4 linked regions of the Pelodiscus sinensis genome follow. The protein of the gene in region 4 interacts with the protein of the main gene of each other region in a biochemical or structural test. Links are inferred from orthologs where the notes say so. Each region holds a gene or a part of one and is shown on either strand. Other genes may lie near its edges.

Region 1 (6,998 bases), on a different chromosome or scaffold from region 4:
AAATCTAAAGGAGTTACAAATTACTATCTCAAACAGATTCATACTGCTAGCAATATATTTAAAATGGAACCTACAGACTCTTTTAATAGACAGGAGAGGGATATGTAGCACAATAGTTTGCTACAGTTAATGTCAGCTTGATTTTAACTAATTCTGGAAATCTTAAATAACCCCAATGATTAAAGCTAAATTAATCTTGGGGCCTATTGATGGGGAAATATAATGCAGTCCTCTTCCCCACCTCTGACAAATATGTTTTAAGTTAATAACAGATACAAGCTATTATTCCAGGGAAACTTCTAGTAAGCCAGAGCACTGGCAGGTGTCAGAGCTCTCTCTCTCTCTGTGTGTGTGTGTTCTGGTGAATATTAGGTTATTTATAAATTGAATCTTTATTATCTGTAGCTCATGACTGCTGTTCCCATATTAACAGGGTGACCGCATTTTCTTAATGAAAAAATTAGGACACTTTTTATAGGGCTGAGGCTTTCAGTGAAGATATATGTAAGATTTTGGAAGCTCAAGGTGGGTCAAAAGGATGAGGCTTCTTACTCCCTATTCTCAGCTATTTACATGCTTTCTCTTTTTTCACAACTAGAAAGCAAAACAATAGAGTGGTGGGTCAGGGGGAAAAGCCATTCACCCTTTTACTGCTATTTTATGTTTTTATTTTAATTTTTCTATGGTTCTTTTCTCTTTCCTTTTCCTTTGGCCCCAAACCTGCAAACTGCCCCATGTGAGTGGATTCCTTCACCCACACAGAATCCCTCTGAAGTCCATATTAAACAGCTTGTAGGATCAAGGTCTTTGTTCTTTGCTTGTTGTACCACTGTACCCTTCCACGGGTACCCATTTAATTTGCACCCATGTGCTAGTGCAATAGAGATAGTCAAAAAACAACACATTTCTGTGAAAAATTTCATTGACAAATAGTGCCATTTTTTCCATTAACATTTCAAAAACATTTTACAACTTCTAAACTACAGTAATCTCTTCCACGCATACTATATCCCACCCTTCATTCATTCTGCATCCAATTCACATGTACCTGCATTCATATCCTCATCATTCTTCCATTCTGCACATGCACATAGTACACCCATGTAGATGAGGTGAGAGGAAATCTCTTGCCTTTTAAAGGCTAGGTCAACCAACGTTTCAGCTAAAGTATGGAGTTTTCCCTGTCCATGTTTGGTCAGTCTTTACTTAGTAGGGAAATCCATTTCTTTAGGAAGTGAGACATTCATACATTTGTCTATAAAGCCCAGGGGTGGATGCATTTCTTCATTTTCATGCTAGAAAATTCTACATCTGAGTGTGGGGGAAGTACAGATCAGAGGGTGTTAAAGCAGCAAAACTTAAGCAGTGAGGGTCAGCTCAATGTGAGGCAAGGATAGCATGGTGTTGAACAGCTGGAGTGCTTGGAATCAGGGAGCACTGGGCAGCCTGGATAATCCAGAAAGTTGTGGCAAGGAGTGTGAAGGTTGAGGGCTGACAGGTAACAGAGAGGGCAGGGTCCCACAAACCATTCACTCATCTATCCTGCTGATGTTCCCTATTCTTCTCAAACTTGCACTTGTCCCATACTCTCTTCACCAGGCAAAGTCCACCTGAACTTTGATGGGGGTGGAACCTCCCTTTCCCCTGGCATCATGGTAACCAGGCTTAGAAAACTTGTTCTATGGCAATAGTATCCAATAAACTGTAAGTTTGGGAGTCACTAAACCTAGAGGCACTACAGGGTTCTGTGTAAATTCAGAGCAGTTATGACTAAACATATTAATGGGGCCTCAAGATTCATAGCTGTCACGTTCGTCTTGCCACCATTTGAAGCTTGCTCAAGCCAAGAACATCTAATTTCATAACTACATATTCCAAATCCATTTACTGATTTTTCAAAGCATCCAATTCACTATTTTAGATGGATTTATAGCTCCTCTATAGCATAGTGTCTTAGCATCTCAAAGTCTTTAATATGCTATTCCTCAAGCTAAATTGGGAAGTGCTGTTAACCTGTTTTAACTCCCCAGAGGTATCTAATGGTACGTCTACACTACATGGCTCTGTCGACAGAGCCATGTAGATTTGTTTATTGGGCAAAGGGAAATGAAGCAGCAATTTAAATAATCGCTGCTTCATTTAAATTTAAATGGCTGCCGCGCTGAGCCAACAAACAGCTGATCAGCTGTTTGTCGGCTCAGCGCACTAGTCTGGACTCTCTGCGGTTGACATCAAAGCCCTTTGTCGACCGCCCCGGTAAACCTCATCCCACGAGGAATAACGGGGTGGTCGACAAAGGGCTTTGATGTCAACCGCGGAGCGTTCAGACTAGCGCGCTGAGCCGACAAACAGCTGATCAGCTATTTCTAATTCTGCATCCAATTCACATGTACCTGCATTCATATCCTCATCATATCCTGATCAGCTGTTTGTCAGTTCAGCGCGGCAGCCATTTAAATTTAAATGAAGCGGCGATTATTTAAATCGCCGCTTAATTTCCCTTTGCCTACAACCCTAATCTATATGGTTCCATTGATGGAGCCATGTAGTCTAGACACAGCCTAAGTGCCTAACATCCACTGATTTATGCACCTAAATAACTCTGAGGATCTGGACCTCAGTGACTTGCCCCCTCACACAGGAATCTGTGGCAGAGCAGAGAGATGAAGCCAGGTCTCCAGAAATCAAATGCTACCATCCTAATAACTGGATCACCCTTCCTGGCCCCACCACATTATTCCCATGTTTTGCTTTAAGGGACTGAGCTGAATTGACTCAATGGTAGAGACCTGTGTGGACACAAAATGTGAATCTGTATCCATATCTGCAAAAATGATCCGCAGATATCTGCATCAATATCCACGGATATGGATATCCACAGATATAAAGTGGGTATCTGCAAATGTGCAAGATATCCACACACAATTTATATCTGCATCCGCCAACATTAGCTGTGGATATCTACATCCATATCTGCAGATTTGCAGATACCCACTTTATATTTGTGGATATCCATATCCGTGGATATTGATGCAGATCTCTGCGGATCATTTTTGCTCTATCAATGGGTGACTAGGAGCAAGAGGATAGGCAGGGAATGTAGGTAAAGGCAGGATGCAGGAGAGGATTTCTTCACTTTCTCCTTCCTGTTCCACCATTGTTGCTTGTAGCATAGGCCCACAAAGGGGCCAGGCACTTGGCAGCAACAGAAGCCACATTCCCTGCCCTGGGGAACTCCCAATGTAACCTGGCAAACAAGGAGCAGTGACTGGCAGTCACAGGCAGCAGGAGGGAGTGGAAGCTAGGCAGCTCTGAGGCTGCAGTTGCTTATGGCTGTGATGCCCCTGTGCCCACAGAGACCCCTCAGCAGGGGTGGGAGTGGAATTGGGGCCAGGCAGGGAGCGGCTCTGGGGTGATATGGGCACTGGGCAGTAGGGAATGGGGCTGGAGGTCAGCGCTGCTGTACCCAGGTGCTCCGGGGTCGGATGAGCGGCCGGGCGCTGGGTCGAGGCCAGGGGGCGCTAGGGGTGCAGAGGGAGCCGGGAGGGAGGTGGGTGCCGTGGCTACGCGCTGCACTGGGCAGCCGTGCCGCAGAGCGGGCAGGCCTGGTCCGGGACCCGCGGGGGGTCGGAGCTTCAGCGATGGGATCCCGGCTGGCGGGGCCCGTCCCGCTCCATCCCTCCCGGGCTGCAAAGGGGAGGGCCCCCCGCGCTGTCACCCGCTCGCTCCCTGCCCGCCCGCTGCAGGGGTTGCTGCCCTTTCCCCGTCCGCGGCTCGGCCGGGCGCCAGGCCGGGTGGGGAGGCTGCAGCTCCCGGGGCCTCCCTTTCCTCCCCACCCAGCCCGGCTGCTCTCCGCCTTCTCCCCGCCGTGCCAGCCAGCCTCTCTCTGGGTCTTCACTACCGGGTCAGGCTGGAGGCGAGCGTGATCAGACACCCCCCTCCCCCAGCACACACAGTCCTGCTCCTCCCCCTCCTCCTCTCCGGGCCGTCTCCATCCCTCCCTCCCTCCCCGCCCGCTCCCCTCCCTCCTTCCCCGCTGCCACTTACTGTACAACTAGTGCACACACACACTCGCACTCCCAGGGTCCCGGCTGCCGCAGCTGCCATGGCCATCCGCTAAACACACCCAGACTGACAGCCAGGCACGGGCAGAGTCACCCCCACTCCCCACCTCTCCATCCTCCTCGCCGCCCGGCGGCCACGGCCCCTGCGGTGCCTTGCAGCCGGCCGGGAGCCGCCGCAGCCCCGGACCCAGCCCCCCGCCCCAAAAAGGAGCCAGGCTCCGGACCAGCACCCAGCACGCCGGGGAGACTCCGCCAGCCCATCCCCACTGCAATGTCCAAGGGCTTGAAAAAGAAAAGCCACTGGACGAGCAGAGTCCACGAGATTGTCCTAGGCAGGAACCAAGAGGGGCAGCTGGGCTTTGAGCTGAAAGGGGGAGCGGAGAACGGGCAGTTCCCGTACCTGGGGGAGGTGAAGCCCGGCAAGGTGGCCTATGAGAGCGGCAGCAAGTTGGTGCCGGAGGAGCTGCTGCTGGAGGTGAACGAGACCCCCGTGGCCGGGCTCACCATCAGGGATGTGCTGGCCGTGATCAAGCACTGCAAGGACCCCATCCGGCTCAAGTGTGTCAAGCAAGGTAAGGGCCAGCTGCCGCGTGCCTGCTGCGCCTCGGCGGGCGGGCCAGGGGCGGACCGGACGGGGTGACAAGGAGCCGGGGCGCAGCGGGGACAGCGCCTGGGAAGGGCGCAGCCCGGGAGTGGCGAGGAGATGGGGTGCCGTGGGGGAGGGGAGACAGCCCGCAGACCCCGCCGCGGGGCGTGTAACTTTGTTCCGGCACTTTGACACCCCCCCTTTCTGGGCAGGGTCCAGCACCTGGCCCCGGGGAGGCTGCGAGGGGCAGCGGCGCCCTGTGTGCTTGGAGGAATTAAATGTGCGTCAGTGACAGGCTGCCGCGGTTGCAGGGGGCGGGAGGCGGCCAAACTTTGCTAGGGCCGGGCCGGGGCGCACAGGCACCCCCTGAGGTGCTGCAGGCAGAGCCGGGGCCAGGGGTGGGGAGCTTGGGATCCCGGGTCAGGCAAGCAGCTCGCGGCGCCTCCAACACGCATAGGGAGCCGCAGCACTGAGAGGGAGGCGAGGAGCCAAACCTTGTGACAGGCGTTGAGGAGCATTAGCATCGAGTAACGCTGTGGCCATGCAGGGCACCACGCTGCGCCGCGTAGCCAGAAGGAGCAATAGGGCTTTGGCCGTCCCTAGCGTAGTCTTTCATATCTAGAGAAAGTGGCCTGGAGGCTGGCTTTGGGAGCTGGTACCCTTGGCTCCGCTTGACACTGGGCGTGTTCCCCTGGAGGTAGTGACTTGCTGCTGCTTGGCAGGTCCCTGACACCTTAGGGCGGCTTTAGCTTCCGTACAGTATCATTGTAGGAAAAATCCTCCACTTTATCTCCGATGAAAACAATCGCCTGGTGCTGGGGAAAGGGGATTTCATATCCTGACACCAGAGAGGAAAGGGTGCTCGCTGCAGGAGCCGGAGGGAAGTTAGAGGACAGAACCATAAACTTTAACTGGTCATCTGTTTCCCCTTTAAAAAAAATAAATATATATAAGTCCTGGAGTAGTTTAACAGAATTCCAGGAAAGTGAATATGATTAAAGATACTAGATTTTCCGTGTAACCCCTTTCTGCCCTTTCAACTAAATTGGCAGGTAGGGGAGGGTAACAGAAGGTTTGGAACAGTTTTCTGACACTCAGAGAAGTGGTGGCAGAGCAGAACAGTTGTAAACTCCAGTGACAACCACATTCATAAGTGGTGCCTTGATAATGATGATGCAGTGGTTGATTGTGTGTGTGGGGGGGGAGAAAGGAGACTAAGGCATTTCAGGCTCAGCCATAGGAATCCAGTTAATACTGCGGTGGAAATAAGTTCAGTGCCAGTATTCTATCTCCAAAAAAGGCAACCTTGGTACAGATTGGGGGGCAAAATGGACAGCTGTGTCAGCTGCCCCAGATTCTTCCTTAGTATAATTTTGTAGTTGAGTTTCATCATTTTAGTGGATGGCCTGTTATTCATGGTGGTTTTCAATGAGATTTCAATGAGATTCAATTTCAATGAGATTCAAATGCTTGAAAAATATTATTGGCCTGATCCAAAGCTCCCTAAAATCAGTGGGAAGATTCTGTTTGACTTTGAGTTAGTCTCCATAAGGATATTACTGTGTGTTCAATTGTTTACAGTGAGGTCACATCTCCAAACAACTGACATAACCTGGTATTTATACACTGTATATTAAGCTGGCATATTGGTAAATTCAGAGTACAGCAGTGTATTGTAAGTCACATTTTGAAGGACAGAAGTCAAGGAGACATAATAGTTGATGCAACAAGTAAAGATGAGAAAGGGAAAAGACTTAAAGCAATTCTACGTTGTTGTACTGGGTCACCTTTGGGCTCTGTGCTCCATGAAACCTGCTATAGTGTTTCAGCTTCTAAATAAATGTAAAAGGTCTCAGAGAGGTAGCCATGTTAGTCTGTATCTGCAAAAACAATGAAGAGTCCTGTGGTACCTTAGGGTGCTTCTGCACTGCACCGTAGCTCAAAATAAGATACGCAATTTGAACTACGCAAAGTGCGTATCTTATTTCACTCTTATTTCAAAATAGCTTAAACAGTGCCAATAGTCTATACAGTGCCAAATTTCAAAATAATCGGCTATTCTGAAATGTTCCTTACTCCTCATGGAATGAGGTTTATAGGGACGTTGGAATAGCAAGCCTGTTATATCTGGAAATAACGGGCTTGCTGTGAAGACACAGAATAGCTATTTCAGGATACTCCAGTATCCTGAAATAATGTTGTAGTGTAGATGTAGTCTTAGACACTAACAGATTTATCAGGGCATAAGCTTTCGTGGGTAAAACCCACATCATCAGATGACTGGGAGTGGAAATTACAGAGGTAGGGGTATATATAAGAACAACACAAGAAGTTACTTGTAAAGTGTC
Region 2 (7,429 bases), on a different chromosome or scaffold from region 4:
ATAAGATACTGATTCTTTACATACATCTCCCTCTGTTTAGTATCATAAGCATACAACATACTGTACACAAGAGCCTTTGCCCCAATCAGTTTAAAGGCACAAGTTACTGCACTGCAGTTAACTAACAATGACAGTCATCCAGAGGTAACATACAGGACTTGTCAAATTCACTTAAGTTCTCAGTAATCACTTACCTAGCAAGTGAACATTAAACAGATGTTGCATTGCTGTGGTAATGAATGCAACAACAATTTAGGAGAGCAAAAAGTGAAAAATTCTATTTTCAACTGAAGTGATCACTTGTTGACTAAGGTATGAGGAAACAATAAGGATGAAGGAGACTACAGAAGTATGGTCAGGGTGGTTTATGCCTTAGGCCCTGATCTTACAACAGTATGTAATCAACAAAGTATGCCATTGAACTCAAAATCCCCCAATGAAAAGAAGAATGCCCTGTGATGAATGAGCAAAGGAAATGCCTCATTACTTAAGTGTACCCTTTGCAGATAATAAGACAGAGAGAGCCCTCAACGACAAAGATATTAGACAAAGATGCAGTCAGACCAACTGGGTTTTACCCATGGAAGCTTATGCCCTAATAAATCTGTTAGTCTAAGGTGCTAAGGGGACTTTTTGTTTTTACAGATGCAGACAAACATTGCTGCTACCCCTCACTTTTCAAAGCGAGAAGAGTTTAAAAGCAGCTGTGAGCAACCTGAGGACCACACACAGCTCATTGGGGTTTTGAGTGGCGCCCATGAGACAATTTGTTTACCATTGCTCGCAAATAGGACTGCCAGATTCCTCCAGTTTTAATCTGTTTCATTTTTCCCCTACCAATATAACCTGCATGTAAAGCAAGGGCACATGAAGTGAGGTGCATGCTGATAGTACATAACATTGGCTGAGAGACAAGGATGTTAACATGCATATATTAAAGTAAACATGTAACTGCTGAAAGTTTGAGCAATTACACATGGGGAGGGGGGGGAGAAGGGGACACTTGCTTCCCCAGGAGCTGGTGCAGACAGGGAGCTGGCTTGTACCAGCTCCCGCCTGCTCCTCCAGGCAGCTGCCTCTGTGTCAGAGGCAGCAGTGAGGAGTGGGACAGGGAACCACGCACATTAACCACTGAATATCACCCTCTCAAGCTTGCTGTGTGTGCTGCACAGCCAATGTATCTACAATATGCCTACTAGGCAGGTTGGGAAATTCTGCTGAAAAGTTCACTAAAGTTTCAGAAAACAGTGTTATAAAAGATCAATATTTAAGACTAAGGGGGACCTGTAATAACCAATGAAAGAAACAAGAGGAGATTGAACAGGAAAGTTACATTATCAAGTGAGACATTTACAGTCTTTCAGCTTAAGTAACAGTGCAAATTGAGCTTCAAGTTGATGCCCAGATTCCACTGGCCAGAAAAGGATGTCAGAGGCCGGTGAACATTAAAATATATGCAGTCTGCAAATAGCAGGGTCACTCTGAATTCACATACATATCAACGATGCTGCATGCAGCAGCTAACGGAGCTGCACACTCAGCTTTCAGTTGTGCCTAATAATGACCTAATAATGTGGACTTCTGTGCCCTGCTAGTCTGCAGTCACAGCCTAAATCAGTCTCTCCCCCACCCAAAACAGGGAAGCCTTGGAACTTTACTTCATTTACAAGTTTAGGACCTTCACAAAGGTATGCATAAAGATGTTACCTGGCTAGCGCACTACCATCTACATCCTATACCATCTACATCCTAATGACTTAACAGACCAAACAATGGGTACTTAGAGAAAGTGCAAATTGTTCTTACCAGCTTCATGTAGCATGAACAAGCCTAACTTTTTTCCTCCTTTTTCCTTCTCCCCTCCACCATGCCCTATTTATTTTGGAACTGGACCTTTAATAAACTCCATTCATCTGAAGAAGTGGGCTGTGCCCACAAAGATCTCATGACACCATCTACATATTTTGTTGGTCTTTAAGGTGCTGTAGGACCATACATTGTTTACATTGCAGCACCCCCTTCCCGCTAACAGTATGCCAGAGAAAAAAGCAAGCCTTACAGTCCAGCACTCAAGACAGATAGCATGACTGGCTGCCTCCGCCAAGCCATGAAGGTGGCCCTGGACACGCAGGGAGCACATGAGCAGAAGCTATACAGCTGGTCCCCAAGTTGCAAACGGCCGACTTATGACCGTTCACAGTTACGACCAAAGCTGTTGTAAATGGCGCACCCCAAGTTACAAACACGATCCGCGCTTATGAACAGCGTGGTCACATGTAACTCAATGGGGTCCAACTTACGAACAAACCGAGTTACGACCAATTGCTTGGCCCGTAACTGGTCCCTAGGTCAGGAAGAGGCTGTACCAGGTTCCAGCGAACTGGCTAACCCAGACTGCAGGGTGCAGGGCTTGCCAGTCTCAGGGGAGGGGTTGGTGCCAGACTGCAGGGGGGGAGGGGCAGGGCCGTGCCGGTCCAGGGGAGGGGCTAGCCCCCAGGGTGCAGGAGAGCAAGGCTGTGTCAGTCCCAGAGGAAGGGCGGGACCGGACTGCGGAGGGGCGGGGCGGCGCCGGACTAGAGGAGCGGGCGGGGCGGTCCCTGGAGAGGGGGCGGGGCGGTCCCTGGAGAGGGGGCGGGGCGGCGCCGGACTAGAGGAGGGGGCGGGGCGGTCCCTGGAGAGGGGGCGGGGCCGATGCCCTCGGCCGGGGAGGGGGCTGCAGCCCGGCGCCCCGCGGGTACCAGGGAGCGGCCCCAGCAGGCAGGCGGCCCGGCCCGGCGGCGGAGCCGCGCCCTGCAGGCGGTCGGGGGAAGCGCCCAGACCCGAACTCAGCCCCTCACCTGGCGACCCCGCCATCGCCCCCAGCCGGTCTCCAGCCTTCCGTGACGTCAGCCTCTACGGGGCGCGGGGTGGATCAAATGCACCTGGCCCGAGGCGGGGCCCGCCCTTTCCCTGCCGCGGGCCAATCACAGCCCCGCCCACCCCTGGCAGCGCCGCCTCTTTATGGTCACGGGCCAATCTCCGACCGGCCCATTGATAAGAAACTCACCCCCCCACTCTCCCCGCCACTTCCGCGCCACAGCCCGCCCTCTTCTCGGGAGGGGGCCAATCAGAGCTCAGCTCTGCTCAGTCCCAGCGCCTCCGGAACGCCGCACGTGCGAGAGCAGCTGGCGGCCTGGGGGCGGGGCGTCAGCCAGACGCCGCTGCAAGGGGCCGGGGCTCAAGCTGCCTGCGGTGCCGATGTTTGGCGCCGTCCTGTTCCGCCCTGTTGTTAACCCGGAGGGGTGCGGTGCCTTGACAGGGTTACTCCGCCCCCCAGCCTAGCCTGTTACCCTGCGGGTTTGTTTGTTTTTTAATGTTCCTCTGAAATCTCAGGTCTGCTCGGGCTACTTCTACACTGCAGGCTGCTTGCCCAAGAACTGTTTTACACACGAGGTCTTGTGCAAAGGGTCTTCCACAAGAGCGCATCCACACGGCCATGTGCTTTTGCACAAGGTGTCTTTGCCAGTGTGGACTTCTCTTGTGCAAGAAAGCTCTGATGGCCGTTTTAACCGTAGGGGTTTCTTGTGCAAGAAATTCATGTTGCCTGTCTACACGGCCTTCTTGTGGCAGAGCTCTTGCACAAGAGGGCTTATTCCTCAGGGGAAGAGGAATAACTCTTCTGGAAGAAACCCTGTTTTCTGATGCTGGTCTATAAACTTACTTGTGCAAGAATACGTGTGCAGTGTAGCTGCTCTGCAAGGTTTTGTGCAAGAACAGCTGTTCTTGTGCAAAAAGCCTGCAGTGTATACATAGCCCTAGTGATAGCATAACTCTTTCAACCATGACAGTGGCATGCAGGCAGAACTCCAATCAGGCCATTCACAAGTCCCCCTCCTTGAGGAAATTCACCCCACGTGTAAGAGAGCTTCCTGATTTCCAAAAGGTTAATACTACACGCAGTCCCCGGGTTATGTACAAGATAGGGACTGTAGGTTTGTTCTTAAGTTGAATTTGTATGTAAGTCAGAACTGGTACATAATGTAGGGGAAACTCTAGCCAAACATTTCTCCAGAGCTCAGTTTTATTCTCCCACACCTCACTTCCCTCAGTCCTTTATTCTCAAGCTGAGGTGTCTGCTGAGAAAAGCCACTCCGCGTCTCCCTGGTCTGCTGGGGGGAGGCGCTAGCTTCGCGTCTCCCTGGTCTGCTGGGGGGAAGCGGCTAGTGCGGGGTTGCCTCACCCCATTTTTAAGTAGGGATCCGATGTAAGTCGGATCCATGTAACCCAGGGACTGCCTGTACATTTTTTCAAGACATAAGGAATGAAGTAAAGGAACCTCTGCTTTTTTACTTTCTCTATTCAAAGAGGCATAATTTAATCTTACAGATCATAGAATACTTAGAACTGAAAGGGACCTTGCATCATGTCCAGTCCCCTGGACCAAACACCTAAACCAAGAGTGGGGAACCTAAGGCCCGGGGCTAAAAATGGCCCCCAACGCAAAAAAGGTTCCCTACGCACAACCTCCCCCATTCCTGATAGATAGGCATCTAATCTGCTCTTAAAAATCTCCAGTGATGGAAATTCCACAACCTATGTAGGCAATTTATTTCAGTGCTTAACCAGTTGGAAAGTTTTTCCTAATATCCAACCTAAACCTCACATGCTGCGATTTGAGCCCATTGCTTCTTGTCCTATCCTCAGAGGTTAAGGAGAACATTTTGTCCCCTCCTAGTTGTAACACCCTTTTAGGTATTTGAAAGCTATGTCATGTCCCCTTTCAGTCTTTTCTTTTCCAGACTAAACAAACCAAATTCTTTCAAACTTCCTCCATAGGTCACTAGAAGATTTACCTAGTGTTGTTCAGCTTAACAAACTTTTTGTTTTTTGGAAAATAAACTGAAAATGTCCATGCTTCATTTAAATCAATGCTCTGGGTGGGGCTGGTGTTGAGGGGTTCAGTATGCAATGGGGATGTTAGAAAATGTTTAATAATCATGTAACTGCAACCATTCTTAGTAGTTACATGATTATTCAATGGTCCTTGGGGGCAGTGCCAGCAGCCAGTGCATTCCTGGCTCCACTCCCAGGCATCCCCCCATCATCCCATGCTGCTGCCTCTGGTACAGAGGCAGGATGGCAGGTGGGTGCACCCTGACATCCCAACAGAGGTTCCTCCAGCATCCCATGGATGGGGAAGCAGGCAAGACCTAGTTTTTAAACCAGTACCTGGTCTGGACTGGTTCCCTCTTGCTGCCCCATGTTGCTGCCTCTGTATCAGAAGCAGCAGTGTGAAGCTGCAGGTGGCTCCCCAACAGGCTGGGAGTGAGACAGTGCACAGGTCCAAGTTTTTAATGCAGAGCATGCAGAGGAGGGAGGGAATTTGTGGTTAATCACTACGGTTAACTGATAAGCACTTACTTAAATGGTTATCCATCTAGCCACTAACCTCCCCAGTATGCAGGCTGCCCTGGGGAGAGAGGAATTGTTCAGCCCCCTATCACTCCAGAAGCTTGGGGCCAAGTGAGAAGTACCTCCCCATGGCTGCTGCAGCTCCAGCAGGCATAGCCTGAGGAGGAGTGTATGTCCTCCAGCTTGGACAGGTCCAGGTCGAGAGCCATCTTCCCCTACGCTCTCCAGCAAGAATGAGGTATGCAGCAAACTGCACTTTCCCCTCGCTCCCCAGCAATGTCCCCCTACAAATTAGGGTGGGGGGTAAGGATATTAAGAATGGGTAATACTCTAATCCGTAGGTGATATAAATTGTATTGACTACATGAACCTACCCCTGCTGCGCCTCTGTAGTTTAAATGTAATAGGAGCTGGGCTACCAGAGCTCCCGGCTCTTACTATATTTAAACTGCGGAGCCACAGTGGCCATAGCTCCTGGACATGGCCTGAGCCAGGATTGAGTCAGGATTGCTCAGTCCCAGCTCATGCTGGGTCAAGCAGCCTCTGTCTGTGGGAAGAGAGGGGGTCCTAACTCTGAGGCTTATTGGGTAGTTGGGTTCTTGCTTACATCCCTAGTGGAGCAGAGCGTGGGGGGGTAGGAAGGCTTCAGCCCTCCCCCCACTAAAGGGCACCTGTGGGGTTGACAGTACCTCCACCCTGCACCTCTCACCTCACTGGTGATTCTGTCTCTTTTCTGTGTGGTTTTATGAGAAGCAATCCTATTCCAGGCACAGCCCATTTTCCTGGCACAACTAAACCCTTATCTTGCTTTAAGTTATATGAGGAAGTTGTATACTAAATTTGGTGGTCCTACCTCTTCCTATTTAGTTCTTGAACAAACACACAGACAGAGGGATGGCCAACTCTCTCAGATATACAGTAGATCTTTTCTAGACCTTTAATAATTTTTGTTGTTCTTCTCTGGACCTTCTCCAATTTCTCCACATCCTTCATGAAAGGCAATGCCCAGAATTGGATACAAAGACTTCTCGTGTCTTGCTCACAATACCCCCGTTAATGCATTTCAGAATCATGGTTTGTTTAGCCTAGAAATAGCTGGTATAGATATATATATATATATATATATATATACTAGCACAAAAGCATCTTCAGCTCTAAGCCTAAAATACAGCAGCCTCAAAGACTGTTTCATTGCTATTTATCGGAGACAGCAACAGCTGGTTCCTTCTCTGAGTGAAAAATACATCATGGACATATATCCTACAGTGCAGGTGTACAAACAGCAGATCTGATACTGCTAACACTTTCCACAATATATGGATATAAAATAACTAAATTTTTCTGCCATTATTCACAGTACTGACTACTACAGTGATAATTCCAAGTAACACAGGGCATGGGAACTGCCCCTCCTTACAAAGAGGGAATCCACATAAGCTTAGGTCAATGTAAAACCATTTTTTTATTCTAAATCACTTTCACAACAGTGAAAATTAGTGAACAATAAAGGGTTGCACTATATGTGCCATCTTTCTCTAACTGCAGGCCATGTGCAGTCTGAATACAAGGGAGGAGGAAATGATACAATACAAAATACATACAAAGAAAATAATCAGAAGCATTAACACTTAATCTCATTCTTGGATTGTGAGGAAATTAATGACTAAGTCTTGTCATTGCAGCCGCTTCAGCCTGCACCTCTTCAGCTTCTCAAGAGCAGCCGGCAAACAAAAAATATATAAAAATTTAAGCTTAAAACTTTATATTTCAAAACAAAAATGTTATTCTGGTTTAATACCTATTTTGTTCCTGTTACAGCTGAATTTTTCACTGTCACCTTGAAAGGATTATAGCAGTGTCTCACAATAATAGTAAAAGGGAAGGAAGTACAAAATCCCTTTTATATTAGCAGGTAAAATTTCTCTTTTTGCCAGCAGGTGGGGCTGTCTCTCAGTAAAACATCATGGCAGTGAAAAAAGTTTCATAATGTGTGTTCAGTTGAGGATAAAAATGCATAATTTCAAAAATATCCATTACA
Region 3 (7,315 bases), on a different chromosome or scaffold from region 4:
GGTCGCACAGCAGGCTGCTTTCCCCAGCCCTGCCCCTTCTGGGAGCATGAAGCTGCCCCCTCCCACCTTGTCCAGGGGCCTGCGGAGGCTGTCGGCTCCCCCTGTGCACGTACCTGCTTCACAGTGTGTTTTGAAGATAACTACATTATCAGTTGTGTGGTGTTCAGATTCATTGGTAATGGGGATTGCGTAAGTATATGATAGAGGAAAATTGTGACAGCTGGCAGTATGCATCCCAGTTACTTAACATAGGCCCAGATCATCAGTTATTTCAATGGAAGTTAAGAATCTGAATAACTTTGAGGATCTGGTCCATATTGCCTATGGGTTGGCTTAGCCCCACCAACTTTAAATTACCAGCTGCCTCAGACAATTCTTCTGTGAAATAGGTAGATGGAACTATCCTGATCTGACATGTGCAGCAGCAAATAAGTAGATGGAAATATCCTGGTTTGACATGTGCAGCAGCAAAAACTAGTTGTGTAAAGTGCCTACAATCACCTAAACTGTGGCAAAACCATGGCTAAAATCCAGATTTTATTTACGTTTTAAGAATTGCTGTGATTTGCCCTGTTGATGTAAGTTGATTTCTGACACATTTCATGCCAGGTTGCTCTTTCCTTGCTGCAGCCCCCTCTTTGATCCCAGATGATTTAGGGGTTGAAAAACAGGGTACTTATTCTGGGTTCTGAATTCCAGGAGATGCTGAACTGGACTTCTCTCCTCCTCCCAACTGGCCAGTCATTCTTGCTTTCTACTATTTGCCAGTCTTTTGCTTTGGCTACCCTCCTGGAGAGGTGCACTGCAAATGTTTTCTATGCTGGCCAGTAAAATGGATACCAAGCTTAATTAAGTAGGAAATATATCATGCCTATGTGCATCAATGAACAGTGTAAATAACAATCATTCTCACTGTGTAAACTTCCTTCCTAAAAAGCTGTTGTTTGGAAGAGTCTCCTGCTTGCACTGATGAATGGATATATTTGTTCAGCCTTCAGAAAGCAATTGTGAGGCTTCAGACTATTTTATACCTGCCCATTTTTAGGGACCCTGTCTTAAGTTCTGAAAGTGCTCCAATGATAGCATGTGGCTCAGAGAAATTGTTTGCGAAGATTAAAATGTGGATGAGAAAAAAGACACTTTGAGATGCTTCTCAATAACAATATGAACACACATAAAAATTATATTTGTTCTGAAATCTTATGACATGCCATCCTCTAAGACTCTTGATGATAAAAAAAAGTGTTAATAGTAAATAATCCCAGTCCACTGACTAGTGTGTTATTTTAGTTACATCGATGCAACTGACGGTGGAATCTGGCCCAGTTTCTGTGATGTATATTCTATCAATATCCTCATTTAATATTAAACATTTGAATTCACCCATCCAGGTATTTCGGATTTATTTTATTTGTACAGAAGCACTTATAAGATTTGTCAATATTTTGTCTGCCTTCATTTGATATAATACAATTAGACTCTTTTTTATATGACTGTTTCTCTTCAGTTCCTACCTGTATTTTATCAATTTCTTTCTTCTCCCCTTTATTAGGATATCAAGCATCTCTTTCAATGAATCCTCCCTTAATAAGAACCTGTTGACGTCCCCCTCCCCCACAACCTTAGTTTAAAAATTATCCTACAATCAGCAATCTGATTTCATTTTTGAGTGGCATCCATGCTTCCTCTGTAGGCTCAATCATTCCCAAAAGGTGACCCAGTTCCTAAGAAACCTAAATTCCTCCTCCAAACACCATTGTCTCATCCACACAAGGGGTGCGTCTAGATTGGAAAGATTTTGTGCAAAAACGGCCACTTTTGCACAAAAACTTGCCAGCTGTCTACACTGGCCGCTTGAATTTGCTCAAGAGCACTGACTTTGTAATATACGGAAACAGAATCAGTGCTTCTTGTGCAAATACTTTCACGCTCCCACTCGGGAAAATGCCCTCTTGCGCAAGAATACTTGCGCAAGAGGGCCAGTGTAGACAGGGAAGAACTATTTTGCGCAAAAAAGCCCTGATGGCTAAAATGGCGATTGGGGCTTTCTTACACAAAATCGTGTCTAGACTGGCCACGGATGCTTTTGCGCAAAAGCATCCGTGCCAATCTAGACGCGCTTTTGCGGAAATACTTTTAACGGAAAAACTTTTCCGTTAAAAGTATTTCCGCAAAATCATGCCAGTCTAGACACAGCCATAGAGTTCTGCCTGACTAACTGGCCTTCCATGTGGAACTGGAAGCATTTCAGAGAATGTTACCATGGAGGTCCTGGACTTTAATTTCTTGCTTAGCAGCCTAAATTTGGAGTCTAGGACCTTTGTCCTATCTTTACCTATGTCATTGGTTCCTGCGTGTACCATGACCACTGGCTCCTTCCAAGCATGCCAAATATGTCTGTCTAGATGCCTTAAGAGGTCCATCACCTTACACCACATAGTTTTCAAAATACAATTTATCTTGAAATGTTTCCATTTGATTGGTTGCCTTCCTTGGAAACAGTTGTATGTTTTACATTTAGGACATATCTGAGGCAAGAGCTATCTGCAAACAGAGCCCTTACTTTTATATTGCTTACCTAGCCCCTTCCACATCTTTCTGGTAACCTTGGGTTTCATGCTCTTCTACACTACAAGTTGAACCTCTCTAGTCCCAGACTCTGTTGTCTGGAAACATCCATCATCTGGAATGATTTTACTTAGCTGGATGTTCACTTCTCATGAGTGTGGCCAAGTTTTGCGGTCCCATAAAGTTTGTTTACAGCCACCAGTCCTAGCTCTGTGATGTTATTTAGCTCTAATTTCCTCCTAAATGTCCTCTAACAGTATAGTAAGCAGTGGACATGTTGGTAATGCTGCTAGACAATATTGACCTCCCATGGTCCAGAAAATTCTCTCATTTGGAACTGGTTAGGTCCCAAGGGTGCCAGACTAGAGAGGTTCAGCCTGTACCAAAAAACTCCCACTGACATAGTGTTTCCCTTGGAGCCTCTCCTCAAAGTGTGTGTGTGTCTGTGCATGAAACATGAAAAGTTAATGCTCAAGATGAGCATTTTGCAGCAACCTGAGTTCCAGTAGGACACAAACTCCATGTCAGAGAAAACAAGGAGCTTGTTAAATATTTATGGTATTACGAGAGGAGTGAATATGATATGAGGCACATCTGTTACCAAATGATTCATAGCTCTTGAAACTGGAACTAAGGATCATGAGTGAAGAGAGATATTGTAGCGTGACATTTATTAGCCATTATCTTGCTATGGTGAGCTCTCTGGAAGTAACAAGTCCAAATGCTGAGGCCTCACAAGTTTGAACTGGGTTGTAATGAGAACTCCTTTGTGAGGCAAACTTAGCAAAATATTGATTGTAATGGGCAACAATTAACATGGTGCACTGCTCATGGATTTTGCCTTATGAGATAGAGACTAGTAAGACTGGATCCTATTCTAGAACCTCCAAAATCTTCATAGCGTAATCTCAGACCAGTGTCTGGGAGATGTTTCTAAGTACTCACATGGTGGTACTTCTCAGCATGAGTAACTTGCTGCATGTATGTTTGTTTTTCTTTATAATAATGTATGGAAGTTGAGTTTTATAAATTAGTTAACACTTCAATGGGAGATCATTGAATATTATGTTTTATACAAGCCAGTTCTTATTTGTTGTCTTAAAGTCCTTAACCCTCAGAAAAGAATAGGAAGGATAATTTGGAATGAATCTACTTGGAACACCAATGCACTGAAATACTATTAAGGGATGCAACTTGCGAGCTGCATTAAGAAACAAAGGCGGGTACTTTAAAAAAAATGGATGCCTAAATCTAAATGATTAAACTTTCATTTACACACCTAATTAACTCTCCTGGCTTTCAAAAGTGCTGCAATGTATGTTTGGTTGCATCACCTCTTCACTTGCAATTGACTCCCACAAAACCTACTTCATAGTTCTTACTTTGTCCACCTCTGAGACTTGAGGCCACCCAGCCTACTTTAAGCTCTGAGTAAGGAGATTAATGTCCAGACTTTCACATATTTAGATTTAAAAATGGTCATATTCTTTATACATGTGTGACCATTTATGGGAGATCTACAACTAACTCCATTTCATTGGTGGCATTTTTTGGCCTAGTGCATTGGTACTACTTTCAATTGCAGCTTTTCCACAATTCCATTTTTCACAATCCAGTCTGAAATAACCTATACTGAGGACAACAGTCCCAAGAGCTGCACATAAGTTTGGGGCTGTAATGGGTGCTCCTTCCTCCATCTCTCTTAATGACTTCTGAGCTGCAGCAGCTGTGGGGGAGAACCCTCTAGCAGGCTAAGTCTCCTGCTGGGGATCTAGCCCTTCCCTTCCTATCTGCTACCTACACGGGCTACCCAAATAACCTGTAATTCCAGTGTTTCTCTGCTGCTTGATTTGGGATTGTTTTTCATTCCTTTTTCTAAGAGACAAAATAAAAGACTTTAAGGGGGAGGTGGGATAGGAGAGGAGGCATATGGGAGGAATATCCCAATGGCTAATGATCCCAAAGAGGAGGGCAAGGAGGAGATCTCTGGGAGTAAATCAGTTCCAAATTGCTGTGGGCTCATCGCTTGCCTGGTATGCCAGTAGCTCCCTCCTGCCCCATTCCTGCATCTCTCCTACCCCTCTTCCCAGCTCCCCTACAGCACAGGGAAGGGAGCTGGCGTGGTTGCTTTCCCCTCATTCTCCTTCAGTGCAGGCTTGACTCTGGGTCTGGCAGATCTCAGCTTCTTCCCCCCCTTGCCCTGTTGCATTTCCCTGCTGGGAGGGATGCAACAAAAGGGCGGAGGTGATGGCGGAGGAATGGGGGGGAGGGGTATTGGGCGGTCGCTCCTATTACAGTGAATACGGGAGGATCAGAGGACTGGGTGAGCCGCTGAAAACTTCAAACCAAACAAACTCCGCGCTGCCCTCCCCTTCTTCATCCTCCGCTTTCCTTGGAAGTTGGAGCCGCGCTGCCTGCATCAGCAGCCGGGCTGGCAGGAGAAACAGCAGCAGCCGCTGCTGGAAAGTTTCTCCCCCGCCTGTGCAGTGCTCCCCGCCCCCCGCCAGCCATGGGCTTTGACCTGGATCGCTTTGCCGAGCCCGTGGACCCGGATCTCAAGTGCAAACTGTGCAGCAAGGTGCTGGAGGAGCCGCTGTCCACGCCGTGCGGGCACGTCTTCTGCGCCGGCTGCCTGCTGCCCTGGGCGCTGCAGCGCCGCCGCTGCCCCCTGCAGTGCCAGCCCCTCTCGGCCAAGGAGCTGCACCAGGTGCTGCCGCTCCGGAGCCTCATCCAGAAGCTGGAGGTCAAGTGCGACTACAGCCCGCGGGGCTGCGGCAGGACCGTGCGGCTCCACCAGCTGGCCGCCCACGTCGAGTGGTGCGACTACAGCCCGGCCCGCTGCCGCCACCAGGGCTGCCCAGAGGTGCGCAGCCTGCCGGACGTGGAGGCGCCCAGGCGGGAGAGCTGCGAGCGCCGGCCGGCCGGCCCCTGCCCGCAGGGCTGCGACTTGCTGCTGCTGGCGGGGGGCGGGGGGCGCTGCTGCCTGCGGGCGCTGCGCAGCCACAGCGGCATCCCCCGGGCCGGCCTGGAGCCGGCGCTGAAGCGACAGGCCCGGGAGTGGAGCACGAGGGAGAAGTCGCTGCTGGCGCAGCTCGCGGCGCTGCAGAGCGAGGTGCAGCTCACGGCGCTGAGGTACCGGGTGAAGTTCAACCAGTACATGAGCCACCTCAGCAGCCTCGCCAGGAGCCTGGCCGGCAGCCCCCCCTGCACGGTGAGTGAGCGGGCGGGCGGGGCGGCAGGAGCGCAGCCTGGCGGCTTCGGGGTGTGTTTGCACCGGGATGCCTGCCTGGCGGGGCCGCTCCTTGGATGGTGCCGAGCCGTGAGGGGCTGGAACATGGGACCAACCTGTAACCCCCCGCCCTAGCATGGAAATCACGTCGAGGTAGGAGGGTCGCTATTGGAACCCCCTCCCCCCCAGTTCAGCACCTATGATAGCAGCTCCTGGGGGAGACCGCCAACGCCCCGAGCCACTCGGGGCCAGATCCTCTGCGAGCCAAACTCTGCTGCACTCCACTGACCGACCCCAGCAGCAGGGACCGGACCCTCTGTGCTGTTTATTCCAGACCTGCTTGTGTGATCGCTTTTGGAGCGGACACACACAGCAGCCTCTTGGACCTGGGATTGCAGTGTCAGCCCCCGATGAGGTCCCTTGGAGAGCCCCCTCCCTAAAGCAGAGAGGCAGGCAGGTAACACTCGGTAACCTGCATCCGAGCTCTCTTGCTGTGCTGATGGTTGAAAAGTCTGGAAACAAAGTGATGTAAATCAAACTTTTACATTTCATTTCCCCATTCCTTCATCCTGGAAAACTCATCTTTCAAGAGCTGTGAAAGCAGATTCTTTCTGCTCCCTCATTTTCTTTCAGAGTGCAGAGAGCCTAAAATGTGACATAAATTACCTTAGTCCTTTTGGGTTCTGCGTTTCATGTCTCCTTTTGTAGTTCAAGAATTTGGCATCCGTAAGGGTTGCACACCAGCCTCTGTCCCCAGTGACTCAATTTGGAGGAATCATGTCTCTGGTAGACCCCAGTGACTCAATTTGGATCTCATGTCTGGAGAGGGAAACATAAATCAGAGGAAAGGGCTTCAACTTAGCTGACAGTTCACAAACTTTAATGCAAATCTTCCACTGGGTGTCTAGAACAGACCACAATTCTTCCAGCTGAGTATGATCTTATTAATGCTGGTATTATATCTTCCTTAGGTGACGTTCTAATTTCAGGTAGGTAAGAAGTGACCAGATATATTTTCTTATCATTATAGTACTAAGCAGCAACTTGGAAAACAGTTTGTTATTTAAAAACAACAGAATCCTTTAGAGTTTAGGTACAGTTCTGCAGGGATGCGGAAGTAGTTTTGGGGAAGGGCATAATGATTGGCAATATTGACAGGAGAGACCAGCACTGCTGCTTCAGCCTTTTGCCAAGTGCTACTGGTGAGATGGCTTAGCAAGCTAAAGGAGTTGTTCTGTAAAGCTTTAATTCCTGTCTGAAGGATTTCTGTGCAGAGTCTGACATTGCTGGTTGCAACCATGGTGAGAAATGATTTAATGGAATGTAAGCTCCACTCAAGAGATTTCTCTTCCAAAATCATTATTGACTCTTTTGAAGCAAAATCCAGAGGAAAAAAATTTGAGTAGCCTTGCTGGCTTCTATCAGCGTTAGCATGATATGCTGAACTTCAAACTGTTATAAAAGAGACTCACACTGGGGCACTGATTCAAGTTCTCAGGGTTTTTATGACCAGGATAA
Region 4 (7,311 bases):
ATATCCAGCGCCCCTTGGTTCAGCCCTGGTCAGGGCCCGAGCGTGCTGGACTAGAGAGGTTCAGTTTGTAGTTCATTCGTTTTCTCATTCTTCCATCATAAGAAACAAACTTCACTTAGGAGACTGGTATCCAAACAGCCTGGACACAGGACTCCACCCCACCCCACCCCACCACAAACAAAAAACCCAACCCAGACGCCAGTTTCAGGCCAAATGCACAGCTCCAGCAAGGTTGACTCATTCAGCAGACAGGCAAGCTCCACACAACAGTGTTGTCTGGCCAGAGGGTTAGGCAGTAAATCCCAACCCTGCCAGCAGTAGGGCATGTCATGGACACTGGTATTTGATTTGAACTCCTGCGAGCGTTTGTAGGAAGTAATCTGGCACTATGAGGTTGTCTGATTTGAAAGGGGAGAAAAATGCGAACGTAAGCACTGTGGCACCGCCATCTTCCAACTCGTCACAAAAGTCAGCCCAGAAAGCACCGCACACTGCCAGGCATCAGGGTCAAATCAGTGTGGAACAAGGAACTCCTCCCTCTCCCACTCCTGTACACACATGCACCCTAGAGACCCACGCGCTGCTACTAACCAGCCCGGTGGGCTTGGCTGGCAAAGACGGGCCAGCTGGAACCCTGGCATGTTCTTGACAAAACATGTTTTGTCACTGTCATTGCTCGGTGGCGCCAACCCGGGGCCAAGGACTGAGAAGTGGGACCATCAGGAAAGACCTCGCCAGCGGCTACGTTAAGTGTTTGGGGCTGGCCTGTTTGAGCGGAACCTTGACTTGTGCAGCTGCCTGAGGCGAGAGAGTGGGGTGGCCGATTCTCAGCTCACATCTCAGCATAAAAGGGGAGCATCAGGGCCTGAGAAAAAGCAGCCGAGGAGTAAAGCAGCTGGGTCTAGCTCCCATTACTAGGAGCTCAGCCGCAGGGGACTGAGGAGCATTTACGCTGAATACCAAACACTTTATTTTCAATTTCCACAGCAGAAGCCTGCACCAGTGCTCGGTGGTGGCCCATGCACTAGCCTGTCCAGAGAAACACAAGGACAGGGTGACTCGGGGTGGCAATGTAAGCAGGAAGGGAAGGCGCGCGTGCGAGGGAGGAGTGCCTATGCGCAACAGAACACCTGGGAATTTTAGACACGTGCCCCTCCGAGCAATGGGTTCGAGACGTGCCAATGGGGAGGGGAAGCCGCGCAGAACTAATGTGGAGGTTCTGATGTGGGACTTTGGAGCGGTGACTGCATTTTCATCCACGTTTGGAAAGACCCTAGATCTAAACAGTGGGAGATTCAGAGAGAAGGGGAGAGTTCCCCCATTTCATTCTGCACTTCAGAGCATTTGCTGGGTTTAGTTAGGCTCCTAAAGGTTGCCAAGCCTGCAAACTAGATACTCCCCCATCCCTAAAAAAAGATAACCTAGGGTCATATATAGCATAAGGAGTGAGCAACACGCTGATCTGACAGATCAGTACAACGCATGCAGTCTAGCTGCTGGATGGTTTTCCAACAGCCCCTCAGGAAGTCGGATTAGCAGTGCGTGTGTGGCAAGAGTCTGACACACTTAAGAGAGAGCTGCAGACAAAAGACACTTTTGGGGGAAGTTAGTTCCGCTCTAAGGCTGAGGAAGTACAGGCAAGACAATCCTAATATCTGTGGTTTGTTGTTTTTATGTAGAACTTGAAGAACCTCCCCCAGGGGTTTGGTAGCACAAAGATTGCTCCAGGACTGACGCTAACCCAGGACTGGGCTGCACAGCCAGCTGTAAACCCACAAGGGGTCACCCCCAGAGGGGCACAGCAGGCTAAATCCCGCAGTGAGAGAGGCCAAATCAAGGCAGGGGATTACAGCTGGCAGCCCAGGGCAGCAGGCAAAACCCACAGGATTACCGGGAACCTGCCTCTTTGCTCCAATCAATCGCTCCAGTGAGAAGACCTGGAACCTGCTTGCAGACATGTTGATTGAATCAGGTGAGAAGTGGCTGCCCCCCCCTTCCCCAAAATGAACCGTCTCCGCGCCTGCGGGGCAGGGTGGGAGCAGAGAGGGGAGGTGCGGAATCCCCAATTGCATTCATCTGATCAAGTACGCGGCCGTGGTGGCTTTAATTAGCAGGCGAGCCTGGGGCAGGGCTCAGCTGCCAGACACCTCCGCGGGGTGAGGTGAAGAGGTGGGTGGAAAAGGAGACGGGGCACTTCCTCTGTTCGACGGGAAACTTTGGATGTGTGTGTAGACACAACACCCCTCCCCCACAGATACACACCCCCGACACACACACACCCCACGCGCGCACACACCGATACACAGATACACACAGACCCCCCCACATCCCATACACAGACACACTCACAGACCCCCCCACCCACAGATACACACTCAGACCCCCCCCACCCACAGATACACACACAGACCCCCCCATATCCCATACACAGACACACACTCAGACCCCCCCCACATCCCATACACAGATACACACACAGACCCCCCCACATCCCATACAGATACACACACAGACCCCCCCACCCACAGACACACACACTCAGACCCCCCCACCCACAGACACACACACTCAGACCCCCCCCCACATCCCATATGCACAGACTCACACACACTCCGGCACTTTCTGCTAAGCGCTGACCCCCCCCCCCACCGGGCTTTCCAGAGGAGGGGTAAAGATCCCGCCCGCCCCCCACCTCCTGGGGTCTCGCCCAGCCGCGTCTCTAGCTCAGCCCCAGCTCGGCAGGGGGGCGGGCAGGGGCTCCAGTGGCCTCCACCCCGCCGTGCAAGGGGCACCGGGGGGCTGCCCCCCCGCGCCCAGATCCCCCCCGCAGCGAGCCGGACCCCCCCGCACCTCCGGGTCCAGATGCACCAGCTCCATGTTGGGCCATGGGTCCGCCAGCTGGGCGAGCGGCATCGCGGCGGCGGGCGGCCCCGGGAGCGGGGCGGGCTGGCGAGACGGGCTGGGGGGCCAGCTCCGAGCCCCGGCACTCGCCGCGCCGCTCGCCGCCCTCCTTGGCCGCGCCCCCGGCGCCGCCCCCGCCGCCCCATTGGCTGCGGGGCCCCGCCCGGGCCGAGCCTGGGCTCGCCGCCCGCCCCCGGGGGCGCCCCGCAGCCTCCGCCGCAGGGGCCACAAACTCCCCCCGCCCTTCCCGGCTGCCCCCCCGCACCCCACCTCTGCCCCCTGCTCCGGGGGCCCCCAAAGGCTCCTTCCCAGGGGCTGCCCGGCCCAGAGAGACCTGCCCCCACCCCAGCGCCCCAGGGGGCTGTCAGGCCTCGGCACGGGGGGATGAAGAATCAGGCACCAGGGCCCATGCTGCAGCGCCAGGAGTGGCCAAAAAGGCCCCTTCCTGAGGAAAAGATGCAGCCTCAGTAGGTCCCCTCCATAGTCCTTGCCCCAGAGAAGGCCCGGCCTGAATGGGGGGCATCTGCTTTATAAGCCATGGGAATCGGCATCTGCGGAGTTGGGGGTTGTGGACCCCCATTGCGTATCTAGGACCTTGCCCATTTGCGGTTCTCTCCTTCCTATCCGTGGTTCTCCGCAGCCACGGGCCGGCGTGGGCATCTGAGGCTCATTTTGGGGGACACAGATGCAGATACAAATTGTGTTGCTATGCAGGGCTCCGGGCACAAACCTCTGGGTCAGAAGATGACAGAGTCTAATGGAGATGGCTAAATGTGGCTACATGTTTGAGACCAGAGATCAGACGTGGTCGTTCTGTTTTTCTGAAGTACTGGGGTGTCAAGGTCTTGTGTTTCCCACCTGATTTTCTGAAGGGAGTAAGAATGAAAGGTATTTTGCCTTCTCTTACGCCTGCAGCAGGTGGCCCACCACGATACAGCAACGGGCTCCAAATGTATGTCTGGTAGAGCTGTATCTTGATGTTTAGTGACAGTTTCTTGCTATCCCACAGGCACTTCGTCAGTCAACTGAAGGTGGTAGCAACCTTCCTTGTCATCTAGAGATCAATTATCTGATACCCACCAGAAAGGAGGTCACACCAGTGGTAGCAAGGCTGGGAAATGGAAAGAGGAAATGCTCAGGGTGGACAAAGGCTAAGTGGTTTATTCAAGGCCATTTGGCCAGTGAGTGTCAGAGACAGGATCTACAGGCAGGGATTTGTGGCTCTATCTACCTAAGTCAATCCACTAGACTAGGTTGCTCTACCTACCAAAGTACAGAAAAGAGACAGAACAGTCCCTTTTTTATTTCCCCTCCATTTGCTTGGTCAGAGGCTCCACAAGGGGAAAACTGGGGGCAGTAGTTTTGTATCTGAGTTTTTTCTAAAATATATTTATTTTTAACCAGGGCTGGGCTAAGCCATTTCTGAGGTGGAGGCTGGCTGAGAACAAGTGATAAGAGGGGATGAAGTCAGAGCTGATTAATCACTGGAACAACTTATCAAGGGATTCCCCATCACTGGAAGTCTTTAAATCAAAACCAGATGTTTTAAAAGCAAAAACATCCTTGTCCATGAGATAAGAACTCGATGCAGGAATTCCCGGTTAAAGTTCTATGGTCTGTGTTACACAAGAAGTATCGTTGGACTAGATTATCCTCACAGTGTCCGTGGGCCTTAAGATCTATGAATGTACAGACTTATATGTAGGAGGAAAAGGAGAATGCAAGGCCAAGGAATAAAGTTAGCAGAAGTGGAGGCAAACAAAGGTCAGAATCAAGGAAGGGGATAGAGGGTATGAACATGATTACCCAGCAAAATCACTTCTGTGGTCTGTCAGGCATTAAGCAGAAGGAAATAGAGGTGGAGCCTCAAGATTTCTTGGCCAAAATAGGCAGAGGGAGTACAGATCGAATCAACCTGTCAAAAGATACATACAATTGAAGACACGAAACAGGCCAGTATTTCAACATATGGTAGCACTATGGCTGTGTCTAGACTGGCCACTTTTTCCAGAAAAGCAACCGCTTTTCTGGAAAAACTTGCCAGCTGTCTACACTGGACTCTTGAATTTCCGCAAAAGCACTGACGATCTTATGTAAGATTGTCAGTGCTTTTGCGGAAATACTATGCTGCTCCCGTTCAGGCAAAAGTCTTTTTCCAAAAAACTTTTGCGCAAAAGGGCCACTGTAGACAACAGAGATTTGTTTTCTGCAAAAAAGCCCCGATCGCGAAAATGGCGATGGGGGCTTTTTTGCAGAAAAGCGCGTCTAGATTGGCCATGGACGCTTTTCCGCAAAAAGCGCTTTTGCGGAAAAGCGTCCTGCCAATCTAGACGCGCTTTTCCGAAAATGCTTTTAACGGAAGACTTTTCCATTAAAAGCATTTCCAGAAAATCATGCCAATGTAGACGTAGCCTATATGTTAAGACAAAGCTCAATGGTTGTGCATAGGCATTTACATGCATTGGGTGAGTAGTAATGATGGTCGGTGACAAGATCTTCCCTAATTAATATATACGAAAATATATATAATATATATAACTGAGCACTTATAGAAGGTACGGTATTCATGGGAGTCCCTGGATTCCTTACATTTTAAAGCCGCTCATGATTATGGATGGTTTTAAGCACTGTTTGTAACCTACTTTTATGTGTAGATATTTCTACTGGTAAAAGTGATTGACTGTAAGGAAGATTTTCAAAGGCACACAAAGTGCCTGCAAGCACCTGTGCCCAGCTGGAATGAACTCTCCAGCTGTTATGTGTCTCATGAAAAATCTTTCCCCTAAACTTTGAGTTGAGTTGTATGTGTGCTGCCTTCATTGTGTCTATAACACTGGAAAATACCCTAAGAAGAAGGGGGTTGTGAAGTTAAATTAGTGCAAGGCAGAATAGGCTAGTGATTAGAACAAGAGAGGGGCAGGCTGACAATCTGGGTTCAGTTTTCTTAGTCTGCCATTGTTCAACCTTGTGCAAGTCCCATTCTTCAGTTTCTCTATAAAGTAGAGACACTGACACATATCCAGTTTTGGGGGTTTCTAGGAGCTTTAGGAATGTAAGGTATTAATTAGAAATTGCTGTTCTTATCTGCTATCCCTCTGGAGTAGAAACATGTAACACTCTGCTCTTTTTGGTCCAACTTCTGCAAAACTACTTTTTGTATTTCATGATCAAACTGCTAGTTAAGTAAACAATATTTTTAAAGATAGGTACCGCTAAGCGTCAAACATAGTAATGGGGGAGCTAAAAGTATTCTCCTATTGCTTGTTAAGATGCAGCAACGTACAAAGCAGCAAAATACAGTTTCTGGTCCCAAAGCAGAAAATCGAAGGCCAGATCCTGCATTCTCCTTGGCCTGGGCAGACTTCAGGGGAGTAGCATTCGGTTAGCAGTGATCGCTTTTGAAAAGCCCACTCTCAATCTTCAGAGCCCTTTAAATAGACACTCACTGACTTCTAGATAAAAAAACAGGACTATGTAGCACTTTAAAGACTAACAAGATGGTTTATTAGGTGATGAGCTTTCGTCGGCCAGACCCACTTCCTCAGATCAAATAGTGGAAGAAAATTGTCACAACCATATATACCAAAGGACACAATTTTAAAAAATGAACCATGAAAAGGACAAATCAAATTTCAGAACAGAAGAGGGATGGGGGGGGGGAGATAAATGTCTGTGAGCTAATGATATTAGAGGTGATAATTGGGGAAGCGATCTTTGTAATGGGTAAGGTACAGGCAGTCCCCGACTTACGCGGATCCGACTTATGTCGGATCTGCACTTACAAACGGGGCTTTCTCGCCCCGGAGCTCACAGGCAGCGATCCGCCACCTCGACCTCCGGGGCGAGAAAAGCTGCTCACGGTGCCCCTGGTCTGCTGGAGACCGTCTCCAGCAGACCAGGGGCACCGTGAGCGAAGCCGCAGCAGCCAGAGCAAAGCCTCAGAAGCGCTGGAACCCGCCGCCGCTGCAGCTTCACTCACGGTGCCCCTGGTCTGCTGGAGACGGTCCCCAGCAGACCAGGGGCACCGGAGCGAAGCCGCAGTGGCGGCTGGTTCCCGTGCCTCTGAGGCTTTGCTAGAGCAAAGCCTCAGAGGCGCGGCACCCCGCTGCCGCTGCGGCTTTGCTCCCCGTGTCCCTGGTCTGCTGGGGGGGGGGGCGCAGCTAGTGTGCCCCCCCCAGCAGACCAGGCTTTTGTTGCCGGACCCTGGGGCAGAGCAGCTGGGGTGCTGCCGGTTGGTCCCGCAGCGCCGCTCTGGGCACTACTGGACCAACCCAGCAGCACCCAAGCTGCTCTGCCCCAGGCTTCCTGATTCAGCCGCTGCTGGTCAGTTTCAGCAGCGGCTGAATCAGGACGCCTGGGGCAGAGCAGCTGGGGTGCTGCTGGGTTGGTCCAGTAGCGCCGAGGAGCGGC

Evidence for each region.
Region 1: the proteins of RPS6KA1 (region 4) and MAGI2 interact in a test that uses a peptide from one of them, tested with the Homo sapiens proteins (2 studies listed by BioGRID and IntAct, with this or other methods). The link is inferred for Pelodiscus sinensis from reciprocal best matches to the Homo sapiens genes RPS6KA1 and MAGI2.
Region 2: the proteins of RPS6KA1 (region 4) and LIMK2 interact in a test that uses a peptide from one of them, tested with the Homo sapiens proteins (2 studies listed by BioGRID and IntAct). The link is inferred for Pelodiscus sinensis from reciprocal best matches to the Homo sapiens genes RPS6KA1 and LIMK2.
Region 3: the proteins of RPS6KA1 (region 4) and PDZRN4 interact in a test that uses a peptide from one of them, tested with the Homo sapiens proteins (2 studies listed by BioGRID and IntAct, with this or other methods). The link is inferred for Pelodiscus sinensis from reciprocal best matches to the Homo sapiens genes RPS6KA1 and PDZRN4.

The regions. Positions count from the first base shown.
Region 1 is NC_134711.1:21,275,002-21,281,999, forward strand, and holds the start of MAGI2 (membrane-associated guanylate kinase, WW and PDZ domain-containing protein 2), read left to right. Parts: upstream 1-3,986; 5' UTR 3,987-4,335; coding exon 4,336-4,636; intron 4,637-6,998. UniProt on the Homo sapiens protein: Seems to act as a scaffold molecule at synaptic junctions by assembling neurotransmitter receptors and cell adhesion proteins. Plays a role in nerve growth factor (NGF)-induced recruitment of RAPGEF2 to late endosomes and neurite outgrowth.
Region 2 is NC_134725.1:8,458,063-8,465,491, forward strand, and holds the start of LIMK2 (LIM domain kinase 2), read right to left. Parts: upstream 3,005-7,429; 5' UTR 2,854-3,004; coding exon 2,838-2,853; intron 1-2,837. UniProt on the Homo sapiens protein: Serine/threonine-protein kinase that plays an essential role in the regulation of actin filament dynamics. Acts downstream of several Rho family GTPase signal transduction pathways.
Region 3 is NC_134711.1:52,518,242-52,525,556, forward strand, and holds the start of PDZRN4 (PDZ domain-containing RING finger protein 4), read left to right. Parts: upstream 1-4,309; 5' UTR 4,310-5,077; coding exon 5,078-5,779; intron 5,780-7,315.
Region 4 is NC_134735.1:2,049,522-2,056,832, reverse strand, and holds the start of RPS6KA1 (ribosomal protein S6 kinase alpha-1), read right to left. Parts: upstream 3,009-7,311; 5' UTR 2,914-3,008; coding exon 2,851-2,913; intron 1-2,850. UniProt on the Homo sapiens protein: Serine/threonine-protein kinase that acts downstream of ERK (MAPK1/ERK2 and MAPK3/ERK1) signaling and mediates mitogenic and stress-induced activation of the transcription factors CREB1, ETV1/ER81 and NR4A1/NUR77, regulates translation through RPS6 and EIF4B phosphorylation, and mediates cellular proliferation, survival, and differentiation by modulating mTOR signaling and repressing pro-apoptotic function of BAD and DAPK1.